Schizosaccharomyces pombe: one gene and its partner. The protein of the gene in region 2 interacts with the protein of the main gene of each other region in a pairwise test. Each region holds a gene or a part of one and is shown on either strand. Other genes may lie near its edges.

Region 1 (5,520 bases), on a different chromosome or scaffold from region 2:
CCTATGCACGTTTTGATGGCGCCTCATCGGAAATGGAAAGGCAGTCAGCAATCGACTCTTTTAATGCTCCTAATTCTGAGTTGTCATGTTTCTTACTTTCTACCCGTGCTGGTGGAGTTGGCATCAATTTAGCTAGTGCGGACACTGTTATTATACTAGATCCTGATTTCAATCCTCATCAAGACATGCAAGCGATTGCAAGGGCTCATCGATATGGGCAAAAAAAAAAGGTACTTGTCTTTGTGTTAACTACTCGAGATTCTGTAGAGGAAAAAATCATTCAAAACGCTCAAAAGAAGCTTGTATTGGACCACTTAATTGTTGAGTCATTGGATCAAAATCATAATTCAGAAAAAGATTTAGAAAGTATCTTGCGGCATGGGGCTCGTGCATTATTTGAAGAGGCTGGTGATGAACCGTCTATTAAGTATAATGAATATTCGGTAGAATTACTTATCTCAGAAGCTGAGAAACAAGAAGATACTTCAACTGATGAATCAGATATAAAAAGCAATAAGTTTGGCTTTTTTCGTGTTTGGGATAACAAACATATATCTTCCAATCATTATGAAGTCAAAGAAAATGTTCTTGTTGATGAAGAAGATGTCTGGTCAGTAATACTTAAGCAACGAGAGAAGGATGCAATGCTAGAAAAAACAGACGAAACAACTTCCAACAGGAGACTTCGTGCACACCACAAAATCCATTATGGCGAAGATTTAAATATTTATGATAATAGCGACGATACTGATTATACCGTTAATGATCGATCATCACCAGGCTCCCCATTTCCCATAGAAACTGAGACAATCAGTTCGATAACAGATACTTTATCTGATAAGCAAAAACTCAAATATGATTCGAGCGTAAATATCGAAAACTTAAATGATGAATCTGATTCTCAAAAGTCTGCAGATGTTCATTTTGACTCTATCTTAGCTAAATCTCTATTAGCAACAACTCCCAAAGAAGATGAATTTAACAAAACTCTATCCACCATCAATTTAGAGGTGGCTAACAAATTAACTTCTTCAGAGTATATTAATGATTCGGAAATGCAACTGATAGACGATCCAGTTTTTTACCCACCTTACGAAATAATTGAAAAAAATCATCAACTGGTTGGAAGATCTTTGTCTAAAGCAGTTCTTGACAACTTTTTTCTACTGTCTTCTTTGTCTGATAATGTACGTTGTCGATGTTGTGGTATTAAACATTTACCAGCACATTGTCCATTAAGCATTGTGCCATTAGAAATATGCTTTTTATGTGGAACACCTCACTTTAGTGGAAGGGACACGTGCCCTATGTTACGAAATAAGGAAGCGATTTATAGACTAAAAGATTCGCTTAGCAAATCACGAGAACCATTTCACATCAAAAAACAAGCTATGGCTAGATTAAACTCGTTTCTACAAAAAAAGGAGGAACCTACTGTATCAAGCAGTGCCAAAACTAATGAACTTTCATCGAAAGTAATCATAAAGGAATCCATAATTAATGAAGCAAAAACTCTTTAGAGTTTTATCATCAATGTATACTATTATTTAATCTGGCATATTCATATGTATCCTGCATTTTATTCGTTAATATATAATTTTTAATATAAATTTTAAACATATATAGCATTTCCATCAAGATCATTATAACAAGGTAGGATCAAATATGGTAACAAGTGATTCAACTCTGAAGCAAATCATGAACTTAAAACCGGCGGTTATATACGAACAACCGCCAGACAAGTGGACAAAAGAAAGAAATATAAAACTGAAATCAGTTTCGTTATCGTTGTCTTCCACACTAAACTTCTACAGGACATAAAAAGCGTTACGAATGGTTTCAAAAAGACGACTTACTAATTCTGCTAAAAGACTTCGGTACACGAAGGAAGGCGCAAAGACTTTTGTGAAAAACGCTACCATCATCGGAGCAGATATTAAAAAATGCGGTAAAAATCTCTTTGTTACTTTTTTCAGGAACCTTCAAAGCAACTGTAAAATTAACATCCTCACCAGGATGAACGGAAGAAGTGATAGGAAACGAATATGGATTGTCTCCTGGAAAAAGTTTGTCTCCACCATTAAACTTGACATACAACGGAGAAGGCCACGATTGACAAGAAGTATTCCTTATATGCCATATTTTATAAAACGGGCAGCCAGGGCTTAATTCTAAGGGGAGAATGGAGTCCTCAACTAACTTGAAGTCGAAATTAAGAACCTTAGGTTTTTCAGGTTTAGATAAATGTAAAGGTGAAGCAGATATTTCGCGAGTTAAACGGAGCATTGAATGATGATCATGATGCACATGAGATACACATGAGGAGCAAAGATCATAGTCTTCACAAACCAGACAATGAAATCTTGGTCCAACTATTGGATGAGCAAGACAGTTGTCACATTGAACCGATCGATGTACTGTTGAGGCAGACTCAAACAATTCGGCTGATAGGAACTGAGGGAACAAATGAAATGAAGGAAGACCATGAGGATAAGCTTTAGTAATTCGAACGAAAGCATGCGTGTTTGAATGACTATTGTCGGTAAGGCAAGACTCACAAATGTCGTAGTCATCACAAACACTACACTTGTAACGCACATTATGTATAGGTTGCTCACAATGGTCACAAATGGCGTACATAAAATTAGATTGGGGAGAAACTGACATAGAATTTACGCTGCAGGTTAAGGAAGCAACTGAAGGGATTGAAGAGCGAACAAGTACGAAATGGGGTTTTGGGCAAGGATGGAGGAATGCCTGTTTCGCATAGCAGTCTCTACAAACATCGAAATCGAAACACTTTGTGCAATGAAATGAGTCATTCCGAATTATCTTGAGGCAAGTGTTACAAGCAACAGAAGAAGACCTTAAAGTAGGCGAATTATTATTGTGCTCAAAAATGTTTGACTTTAAATTATTCTCCTTAGTGAAGTGGATATTAGCGACTGAGGAATGAAAAGGAGGGAAGGAAGGAACACTATGGTTGCAAAGAATCCCACAATCAGAAGAGGGACATGTACGATTGCAAAGCATTTCGGGATCAAAAACGTGAATAAAATAAAATAAAATTTAATGATAAAAGAGAGCGTTAAAGAAAGCAAAAAAAAGAAAAAAATCGCGTAAGCAGTCAAGAAGTAACTCGAGTTCTTAGGTAAGAGAAGGTCTTAATTGTAGGTAAAAAGCTCTTTCGAAATAAGCTAAAGCAAAATTAGTAACGATATTAACTAATGAAATTAGTTGCAAAGTAAAATTTAATAGTTCATATGAATTTTGAAATTGAGGAAATATGTGACGCCGAAGTGAGCAACAGTGCTAGCAATTTCAGAGTAAAGGCAATAGAAAAAACAATCTTTATCAAGACAAGGATTTTTACGTTCTCGTAAATATTTATCGAAGATGTTATTATTAAAGTTCCATCAACCACTTTAGTCCTTCAATCCTTTTTGTAATTTGTTGTACAAACATTGAACTTAAGACTTTGTGCAAGTAAATTATCTTACCTATAGACGGAACAGGAAATAAAGACAAAACAAATAATTGAAGCGGATGTGTAGAGATACAGTGCAAACGAAATGTAAGGAGCGTTGGAATTGCAACTATAATGACGGGTTCCTAATTGGTTATGAAATCAAGCTATTAATTCTAAATGGGATGTATTCAACGGGTGAAGTGAGCAGGACAAATTCGCTAGTAGAAGTTGATGGTAATGTAAATGAACGAGGTCGAGGTGTAAGCTTATCACACGTATATGGGGGATGAGCATATCGTACTGATAATAGATAAGTTAAGCGTCGCTAAAAAGTGGTAGCGTTTAGAAGCGTGCACAGCATAAACAGTAACTTAGCGAATTTATCTACAAGAGGTTGGTACTTCAACGCATGGCCCTAAAAATGAATATATGAAAAATTTTGTTGATGTAGCAAACTTGAAAAAGAAATTGATTTAGTTAAATTGGAAACTACTTAACTTAAGCCCTAAAATGTACTTAGAAATCGGCTTAGACATTAAACTAGATATGGGTTATGGCATAAATGTAATTTAAATGAGATGTGAGTCGATAAAGTATTAATATTATATATTCTTAAATCATAAGTTGACGCTATTCTAATATCAATAAGCGATTATGAACTGAAAACGTAAATAAATGCAATTTCTCTTACAGCGTAAAATCTTTTACTACAATAATAGAAAAGGGTAGGAAAAACTCCATTATATTGGCTAAAACCGGTCACGGTATCTTTTGATGATCCGTTTGTAAAATCAATTGCAAATGAAAAGACACTAGAGAAGGTGATAAACGACCAGTTTATAGCTAAGTTAATAATTAATGGTATACTCCGCGTTATGATTTTGCTCAAATAATAATTTTGGTTTTTTGCTGATTGTTAATATTTACATTAATGAAATTTGTAAATATACGTCAAAACAAATTAACATCATACTTACATTGTCATACTAATCGCACGTTTACGCATTAACGGGAAAAAAGTAAGCAATATTTCAGTTGGATTTTAAGTCACTCATGCACCGAAATTTTTTCCAGCATATTATTAAAAGTACAAGAACATTAGGTATAAATGCAACTTCATTTCTAACCCGATATTTACTTAACGTTGGTAGACACCAGCATCCTCCGAAATTGATTAGCTCATATTCTCACATCGCTATTTCCACCTTCTCTTTTCAAATATCAGCAACTTCATTCCAACACCCTTCATACACTGTCAAAGGTTTGAGCACCTGTATTGATAAAATGAGCCAAGATCAAAAACCTAAAGTTTTGGAAGTGTCCAACCTTGAGAATCAGGATGCCAAGTGGACATCCTTAAAGAAAATCCGTTGGCAAGACGAAAAAGGAAAAATCAGGTTTTGGGAAATGGCTGAACGTACGACACGTTCAGAAGCCAATGTGGATGCCGTAGCCATCTTAGCCATTGTTCCTATCGACGGAAGTCCTCATGTGTTGTGCCAAAAGCAATTTCGTCCTCCTATTGGCAAGTTTTGTATTGAAATTCCAGCAGGTTTAGTTGATTCTAAGGAGTCTTGTGAAGATGCTGCGATTCGAGAGCTTCGTGAAGAGACTGGCTACGTTGGTACTGTTATGGACTCCACCACTGTCATGTACAATGATCCGGGTCTTACGAATGCTAATCTTAAGATTATACTGGCTGACATTGACATGTCGAAGCCTGAAAACCAAAATCCTCAACAACAACTTGACGATGGCGAATACATTGAGAACTTTCCAATCAAGCTTTCTTCTTTACAAGAGGAATTATTTTCTTTAGAGAAGAAGGGATTTGCCATTGATGTTCGTCTCTCCACATTTGCACTAGGATTACATGCTGGTCTTAAATACTTGTCGTCTTAGCTATGCACCTTTTGCTATTCACTGAATTACGACCGTTTACTATTAAATGTTGCTAATGGACTTTTTATGCTATAACTTTCCTTTGTTTTAGTCAAACTTTATTAAAAATAATATATATGTCTATCCAATAATTCCCGTTACCGTGTTCC
Region 2 (7,653 bases):
ACTCTTCGGGTTTTGTAAATATTGCAAAAGTTTTTTAATAGCAAGAGGAGTGACAAATAATGTTGAACTGACGAGAACGGACAAAAAAACCATCAATAGAATTGTTGATTTAAGGGATAAAAGGATTGTATGCATAAGTGATTTTCTATCATTCTTGGCGAACCGGCTGTACCAAATCTGGGTACACTCGGTGTCAGGAAGAGCAGGAACATCAGTGAGGGTAATAGGTTTTTTCCACGATTTCCATATAATACCGTTTAACCATCCGTAAGTAAAAATCAAAGAAAATATACTACATGTTTGTTCAGGAGACGGGCGAGCAACCTTGGAAAACTTAACGGTCGGGCTCCACGCTCTTGGAAAAAAGAGAGGAATTATGACAAGCAAAAATAAAGTAATGTTATAAGCTAAAGGAAGCAGGAGAAGAAAGGATCCGCCTTTAACTGAAAAGCTCCAGGATGAATAGGTTAGAAAATCATAGATGCTTATCAGTCTTAGTAAAAGAAGCCCAAAAGCATTTGCTACCGAAATCCAGGAAAACAGGGTTGATCCATATTTTAAAGATGACAAAATGTTTAAACCAACGATCTCCAAATGGGTAATAGTTCGTATTGCCCACCAAACAGCATTAGTGTCCAAGTAAAATGAAAGTGCGGCAGAGACAATAGATAGGATAATTTGAATGTATTCTAACAAACATGTTTCTCCAAAGTATTTTTTTAAGGGGTGTTGGGTGTGATTGGCATGAAATAGTTTTTGAATAAGGAACAAATTTGTAAGGGAAAACAAAGAAAGGTAAAAAAGCAGTAGACATTGGTCTAACGTTGCATTTCTAAAAAAATTTATATCTATGTAATTTGAAAAAAAAGACTGAAACATTTTCATCACAAGTCGCAAAGTCTACAAAAAAAAAATTCTAATGGGATAAAAACCTCAAACGACCTAAAATGTTAAGCAATAAAAAGTCCAAGGTCAATAAACATAAGTCCAAAAATGTCCAATGGGAGGGAAAAATAAATAGAGGATTTTGCAACGATTAGGGCAATCGTAATTAATAAAATTAACAATGCAAACAACTAACAATCAATCGTTTAGGAATTATTCATCAAATTCAGTATTTAATTACTTTGTGGTCAAGAGTTAAAAAATAAATGTCTAATTGCCTCGGGTAATTGAAGGAGTTAATGAGAGATATTATGCTGTGGTGATGGTAAACAGAAAAGCATATGTTGCCGAAAAAAAACACACCCCGGCGTAATTATTTTTTTGTTTATTTTACATTTGGTAAATTACCTCAATTAAATGACTCTGTTTAAAATTTATATTGATATTAAATTAATATCTATCTGAGTAACTTAAAATGATGTTCGACGGTTCTGAAGTACATGACTACGAAAATAAAGTTTTTTATATGCAGATGTGAGCTAGTAAATTTCATATGACTAACTAAACATTCTATATAAAATCATAATATGAAACCATTCAGGAATAGAATTTGACATATAATCATTAAAGTATGCAATTCGTACGGGTCTTAATACATGAGCAACATATCTGTATTGGGAACAAACATTTCCTAATCAATATATTCAGCCATATAGGTAGAAGATGGTACTTTAGTTTACTGTTTTTAATAAAAAACTGTCAACGCAGCTCAAATTTGCTCCGCTCCACCTCACAAAAAGGTTGATTGCAATTTTGTATGAAACGTAAAAGATAAAATGGATGCATTTTAAGACTGATTACATGATAACATTATTACTCTTTCTTTTCGTTACTGCCAACTTCCTCTTCCTCTTCGAGTTCAGGTTCGCTGTCACTAGCATCTTCACCAGCTCCAGCTCCTCCAAGGTTACCAAATTGACTGAAGTCCATACCGCCCATACCTCCAAGTGCGCTCAAATCTGGCATGCCACCTGCGCCAAATGGACTAACTTCAGGTTGTGCTTCTTGCTCATCCTCGTCAACCCAACGATCAAAATCCGTTCTGAGCCAGTGTAATCGAAGTTTCTCTTTAGTAAGACGAGGCCAAAACTCTTCTTGTAATTCCTTCTTGTATAAGACGAAAAAGATGTAGCGGCCGGTAACAGAGTACTTGCTTTTCTCGACATCAATGTCCTTAAAAAAGTCAATTTGAACTGCGTAATGAGCGTTGGCTCCAGATTTGCTATCGATAACTAGTTTTTCAGGTGTCAAATTAATTTTTGGGTCAACAGCATCCGGAATTAAAACGGTGAGGTAAATTACGTTCTTTTCAGCATCATCCTTATTGGATCTTTGTGCCCATAAAACTAAACGAATGTTAGTAACAAGCACTAATAAAACACGCAAATAAATGTACATTGGAAAACAGAATATACAAAACCGCTAATCAAATATTTTATGTGAAGAAACCGAAGAAAATACTATCTTCAAACGAGAATTATTCGGCTTATTCTCGTCTCAGATTCTTCGCAGTATAAGGTGTTACGGATTTTTGTTGTAACATACCTTCAGGAATTTGTGTATTTAAACTCATTCTTTAATGATAAAAAGTATAGGTAAATAATAGGTTCAATATGGTAATTTTATGTTGAAACTTTTCAACTGTGAACTGCTAAAGTGGTTTGTCTAGTGCAGGTTCTTGAAGTCACCTACATTATATAGTGAACTATAAGTCACTGGGTACGGTATTTTCTAGAACATACGCTCAAGTATTCAAGACTGTGCCAGAAGCGTCTAGGGAATAAAATTGTTAAATTGCAGTTTTAATAGTTATCCTTGTTGATCGATTTTAGAAAATTGAGTCTGTTTAACGTCAATTGTCAAGAAGCTGATCAATTAATTGATTTCTTGTAAAACGGGATTTTAAAATCCTAGAAGCCGCTTTTTTAATCAATTCATAAATTGAAAAGACCAACTTGATGTACTCTATTTGAGGACTATTCGGTTTACGCTGATTTGAGGATTCTTCGTTTGAACAATTGAAGAAGTAAGACTTTTTTTAAAGGTTTCATATCATTTCGGTTTCAGTATCATTTTTTTAGAGAGATTTGTGTCAGTTTTGTTTTTCATAACTTTCTTTCCTTGTATTATTGCATAATCATCCATCGTTTTTGTTTTTTTTTTAATTGGTAAACGGGGAATTTACGTGTTTATCCATTTTTTCCTATCACCCAGCATTTCTCATATTTTATTATCAAAATGCAAACTGTAAGATCTTATTTCTTTGGTCCGACGCCTCAAGAACAAAACAGAAAATGGCAATCCATCATTCGAAAAGAACAACGACAACTAGATCGGCAGGTATACCATCTTAAAGCAGGCAGGAAAAAGGCAGAGGTTCAGCTGAAACAATTGGCAAAGCAATCTGATATTACAAATATGCGTATATTGGCTAAAGAAATTGCCCGTGCAAACCGACATGGTAAAAGACTCGCCGAATCAAAAGCTTTATTAGGAAGCCTAAGTCTACAACTGAATGACCAGATGGCTATGTTAAAGATACAAGGTACTATGCAATCCAGCACAAAGATAATGCAAGATGTATCATCTTTAATTCGTCTTCCCCAACTCTCGGAAACTATGAGAAATCTGTCTATGGAACTTACAAAGGCAGGTGTCTTAGAGGAAATGCGTGATGAAATGTTTCTACCAGTAGAAGACGATGAAGAATTGATGGATTTGGCTGATGAGGATGAGGAAGTCCAAGAAATTCTTACAAAATATAATGTCATTCCTGCACCTTCAGAAAAAGCAGCGGATGCTGCTACACATCGTGAACAATCACTCAAACAAGCACTTCCATCTTTATCCAATGGGATTGCTAAAGACTCTACTGAAATTGATGAAGAACAATTGTTGGACATTCGTGATAAGCTAGATGCTTTGAAATCCTAAACGGTTTAAATATTTTTTCTTTCTCTGCTTCTAATTTTACATGTTTATTCTTTGTATTATATCATTTAAACTGATTTCCTTGCATATTTAACAAAACTCCCTGCATTACGGTTGTAGTAATTTTATGGCACAAAATTCTTTTTCTCGTTAAATTTTCATCAGTAGCATATGAAGTAATTATGCATCATGGACCGCCTTCCTATATCATTCAATTTTTGGCAGATATATTCAATAAGTAGGCTTCATATCTTTCCTTTGCCTTTGTTATTGAATACAAAATACTCATATATCCACCGCTGTTGAACATTACTCCATTAAAAAGAAATGCTTGTTCTTTTTGGTCAGCCAGAAAATTGGCATGAGCAGGATTTTCGTGCTGTAGATGATAGGGTTCGTGGAGGCTCTTCGATAAGTCATCTCACTGAGGAGAAGGATAGTGATGGGAAATCTCGCGCCAAGTTTTGGGGCACTCTTGATACTAAGACCTTGGGAGGCGCTGGATTCTGTAGTCAGGCTACTAATATCAAGGATAGGACGTGGAACCTGAAAGAGTTTAAAGGAATTGAGCTCGATATTGCTAAGAGCGATTCTTATAAATATACTTTTATCATTAAGGATTGTCATCAAGATTGGGAAACTTCTGATGAGAAGTCAAGTTTATCATATGAATACGACTTTACACCTATATATTCTAAGGAAGACCAAGTTGTTTCAATTCCGTTTTCCGAATTTAAACCGACTTATCGTGGTCGACCTGTAGAAGGAGCCCCGGAGCTTGACGTTAGCAAGATCACTCAGTTTTCAATTATGATTCGAAGCTTTTTTAATTCCCAAAGTGGCGACTATGAACTAGTTTTAAACAGTATTCGTGCTATTCCAAAGAATGTTCCTTTTACTACCCATAAGATGAGTAACGAGAAGCAAAGACTTTTTGACGATTATGAAAAAGAAATTGCTGGAGGTTCTTGGTGCATTTGCCAATAATTCCAAAGTTTTAGCAATACTTACTTAATTTATTTTCATGACATTTGATGAATTTAACTTGCGTTTTGTGCGGTATTCATTTGTATAGTAAAGACATGAAATTATAGTAAAGGCGACTTTGTATTACTTTAGTGTTGGGGATATTAAAGTCTCCTGCTACTCTTTTTTTATTTTGAAGTAATTTTAAAGAGATGAATAAGGTTAGCAATAGTTTAATTGACATCAATTTAGTACATTGACATTTACAAAAATCTGAGTTTTTAGCTTAGCCGTTACTTCTATCCATTAATGGTGATGTCCGACTAATGTCATTAGAGCAATTAGCATTTGCAATCATAAACTAGACGATCATAATCAATCAAAGTAATTGACAAACAACAACACTATGAATTGATATACGTACAACTATGGAGTTGTCACATCTCTGCAAAACTACAACCAAAGTAAATTCAATTTAGTTTGCTTATTTTAACTTCTGATTGTCAGTAACTTACCATATATACTCAACGCATTCTTTCCCATTGCCGCGGAATTTGTACAAATTTGACTAGTGAGGTTCGCTAAACTTCTTGATGATAGTAGTATCGACAGATTGTCATCACCGTATGTCTTGAAATAATTAGTTGGGTGTTTGCATTCCCCAATGAAATAAAAAATCTTCAATATTTAACTTTATTTTTATTATTTAAAGTACAAATTACATTCATCAATGAATGGAGCTGTTGAAAGCTTATTGTACATAAAAGTAATTAACAAGCGAGAGTATTCTATCTATTTATCTACTTACAAACAGATCAATCTAATGGAGTCGTTAAGAGTACCTTTATCCTTTTCTAAATGTATTCATAGGCTTAAACCACTAACTTAAAAGTAATTTTATTGTGTTGACAAAAGTTAAGCCACTGCTAGAATAGTGTAAATATTTTAAGCGAATTACGGTTAAACGATGCGACGGACAAAGATAACATTTTTCCCGACAAAGCGCTTCTATGTTTATCGACTAATACTGAATAAACCTATCCTCGGTTTCAACGAATTTTGCTTCCGAGTGTATAGATCAGCGCAAGTGGAAATTCTTAGAAGTGGCTAAACATGCTATTTAGGCCAATGTCCAACAAGGAAATTTTCATGACATGAAGTAAGAACTGGTCTATTTAAAGAGGTTCTGTCTGGCAAGCAAAAGTTCTACGAGGAATGTAATGACAATCAATTTTGTCAAGTTTTTATTACGATCCACTGAGAACAAGAACTTGCATTGAGAACCGATTGGATGTGGTTTTTAAGAGAAACAATTTTTGGTGAATTAGTGGAATACTTTTCTGGCGGTACTCGCCAAGTTGATGTGGAGAAATTAGGAGTATGCACAGATAATAGTAATGTTGAGTTAAGTAGTTGCCCCGATTCTTCATTTGACGACGAGAAAACTAACCAGGTTAACTCTGAAGGATTGATTATTGTGACATGGGATGGCGAAGATGATCCTGAAAACCCAAAAAATTGGCCTTTATGGGCAAAGCTCGTAGTAACATTTGATGTTTGTTTTTTAACGTTTGCCGTGTATATGGGGTCGGCAATCTTTACTCCTGGTATTCAGGAAATTCGAGAGACGATGCATGTAGGAACCGTGCCCGTAATCTTGGGGCTGACTCTTTTCGTTGAGGGGTATGCGGTTGGCCCTCTCATTTTCTCTCCACTCTCTGAGGTACCTCAAATAGGCCGTCAAAAAATTTATGTGCTCTCCCTTATTGTTTTTATCTGTCTGCAAATCCCCACTGCGCTAGGATCTAGCTTGGGTGTTTTGCTTCCAATGAGATTTTTGGCGGGAGTTTTTGGCTCACCTGCCCTCTCCACTGGAGGAGCCTCTCTGGCCGATATTTGGCAGCCATGGCTTTATCCTTATTTCATGTGTTTCTGGTCCCTTGGCGCAGTTGGTAAGCTGGATCATTTAATTTGATAGTGAATTTGTGACTAACTAGTTTTCTAGGTGGTCCTGTTTTAGGTCCCTTGCTTGGTGCAGCCATGGTAGTTGCTAAATCATGGAGATGGCAGTTTTGGCTTTTGATGATGATTTCTGCACTTGTCTTGGTAATTATAACTTTTTTTATGCCAGAAACCTCTGAATGGCATTTATTGTATAAAAGAGCTAAAAGACTGCGCGAATTGACTGGAAATCCAAATTATAAAACGGAGGCCGAAATAGCCTCCTCGCAATTGAGTAAAGGCCAATTTGCAAAGCAAATATTGGTTCGTCCTATAATTCTGTGTGTCTCAGAACCAATCGTTCTGTCATTAACCATCTATATTGGATTAGTATATTCAATTTTATACCTATGGTTCGAAGCCTTTCCCATCCTTTTTACTACAGTCTACCATTTTACGACTATTGAAAACGGGTTGGTTTACATGGGTATATTGGTAGGTTCAGTTCTAACCGTAGCATTTTACTTTATTTACCTTAGAAAAGTGATGATTCCTAAGTTTGTGGAAAATAAGGGTAAGTTTCCTGCTGAAGAAATTTTAATCATCTCATTTCCAGCTGCCTTTTTTATTCCAATTTCACTCTTTTGGTTTGGTTGGACAGGAAGAGAATCGGTGCACTGGATTGTACCAATTGTTGGTACACTTTTCTACGCATCAGGTTCCTTTTTGTTGTTCCAAAGTATGTTTCAATATTTGGCAGCTGCATATCCGAAGTATGTTGCATCAGTATTTGCTGGAAATGCTCTTTTTCGATCTTCCATGGCTGCAGCATCTCCTCTATATGCTAGAGCCATGTTTAATAATACAGGT

The links. Proteins that work in one complex are often made in the same cells at the same time.
Region 1: the proteins of SPOM_SPAC9E9.15 (region 2) and nbr1 interact in a two-hybrid assay, tested with the Schizosaccharomyces pombe proteins (one large-scale study listed by BioGRID).

The regions. Positions count from the first base shown.
Region 1 is NC_003423.3:984,805-990,324, forward strand, and holds nbr1 (protein Nbr1), read right to left. Parts: upstream 3,706-5,520; 5' UTR 3,501-3,705; intron 3,198-3,500; 5' UTR 3,034-3,197; coding exon 1,840-3,033; 3' UTR 1,579-1,839; downstream 1-1,578. Other genes in the region: SHREC complex ATP-dependent chromatin remodeller Mit1, read left to right, coding at 1-1,520; subfamily NudF ADP-ribose diphosphatase Ysa1, read left to right, coding at 4,754-5,371.
Region 2 is NC_003424.3:4,466,478-4,474,130, forward strand, and holds SPOM_SPAC9E9.15 (protein CIA30), read left to right. Parts: upstream 1-4,068; 5' UTR 4,069-4,203; coding exon 4,204-4,863; 3' UTR 4,864-4,938; downstream 4,939-7,653. Other genes in the region: abc1 (ABC transmembrane transporter Abc1/Ybt1), read right to left, coding at 1-885; p23 chaperone protein wos2, read right to left, coding at 1,759-2,291, 2,491-2,518; ESCRT III complex subunit Vps24, read left to right, coding at 3,184-3,879; MFS family transmembrane transporter Mfs1, read left to right, coding at 6,134-6,794, 6,848-7,653.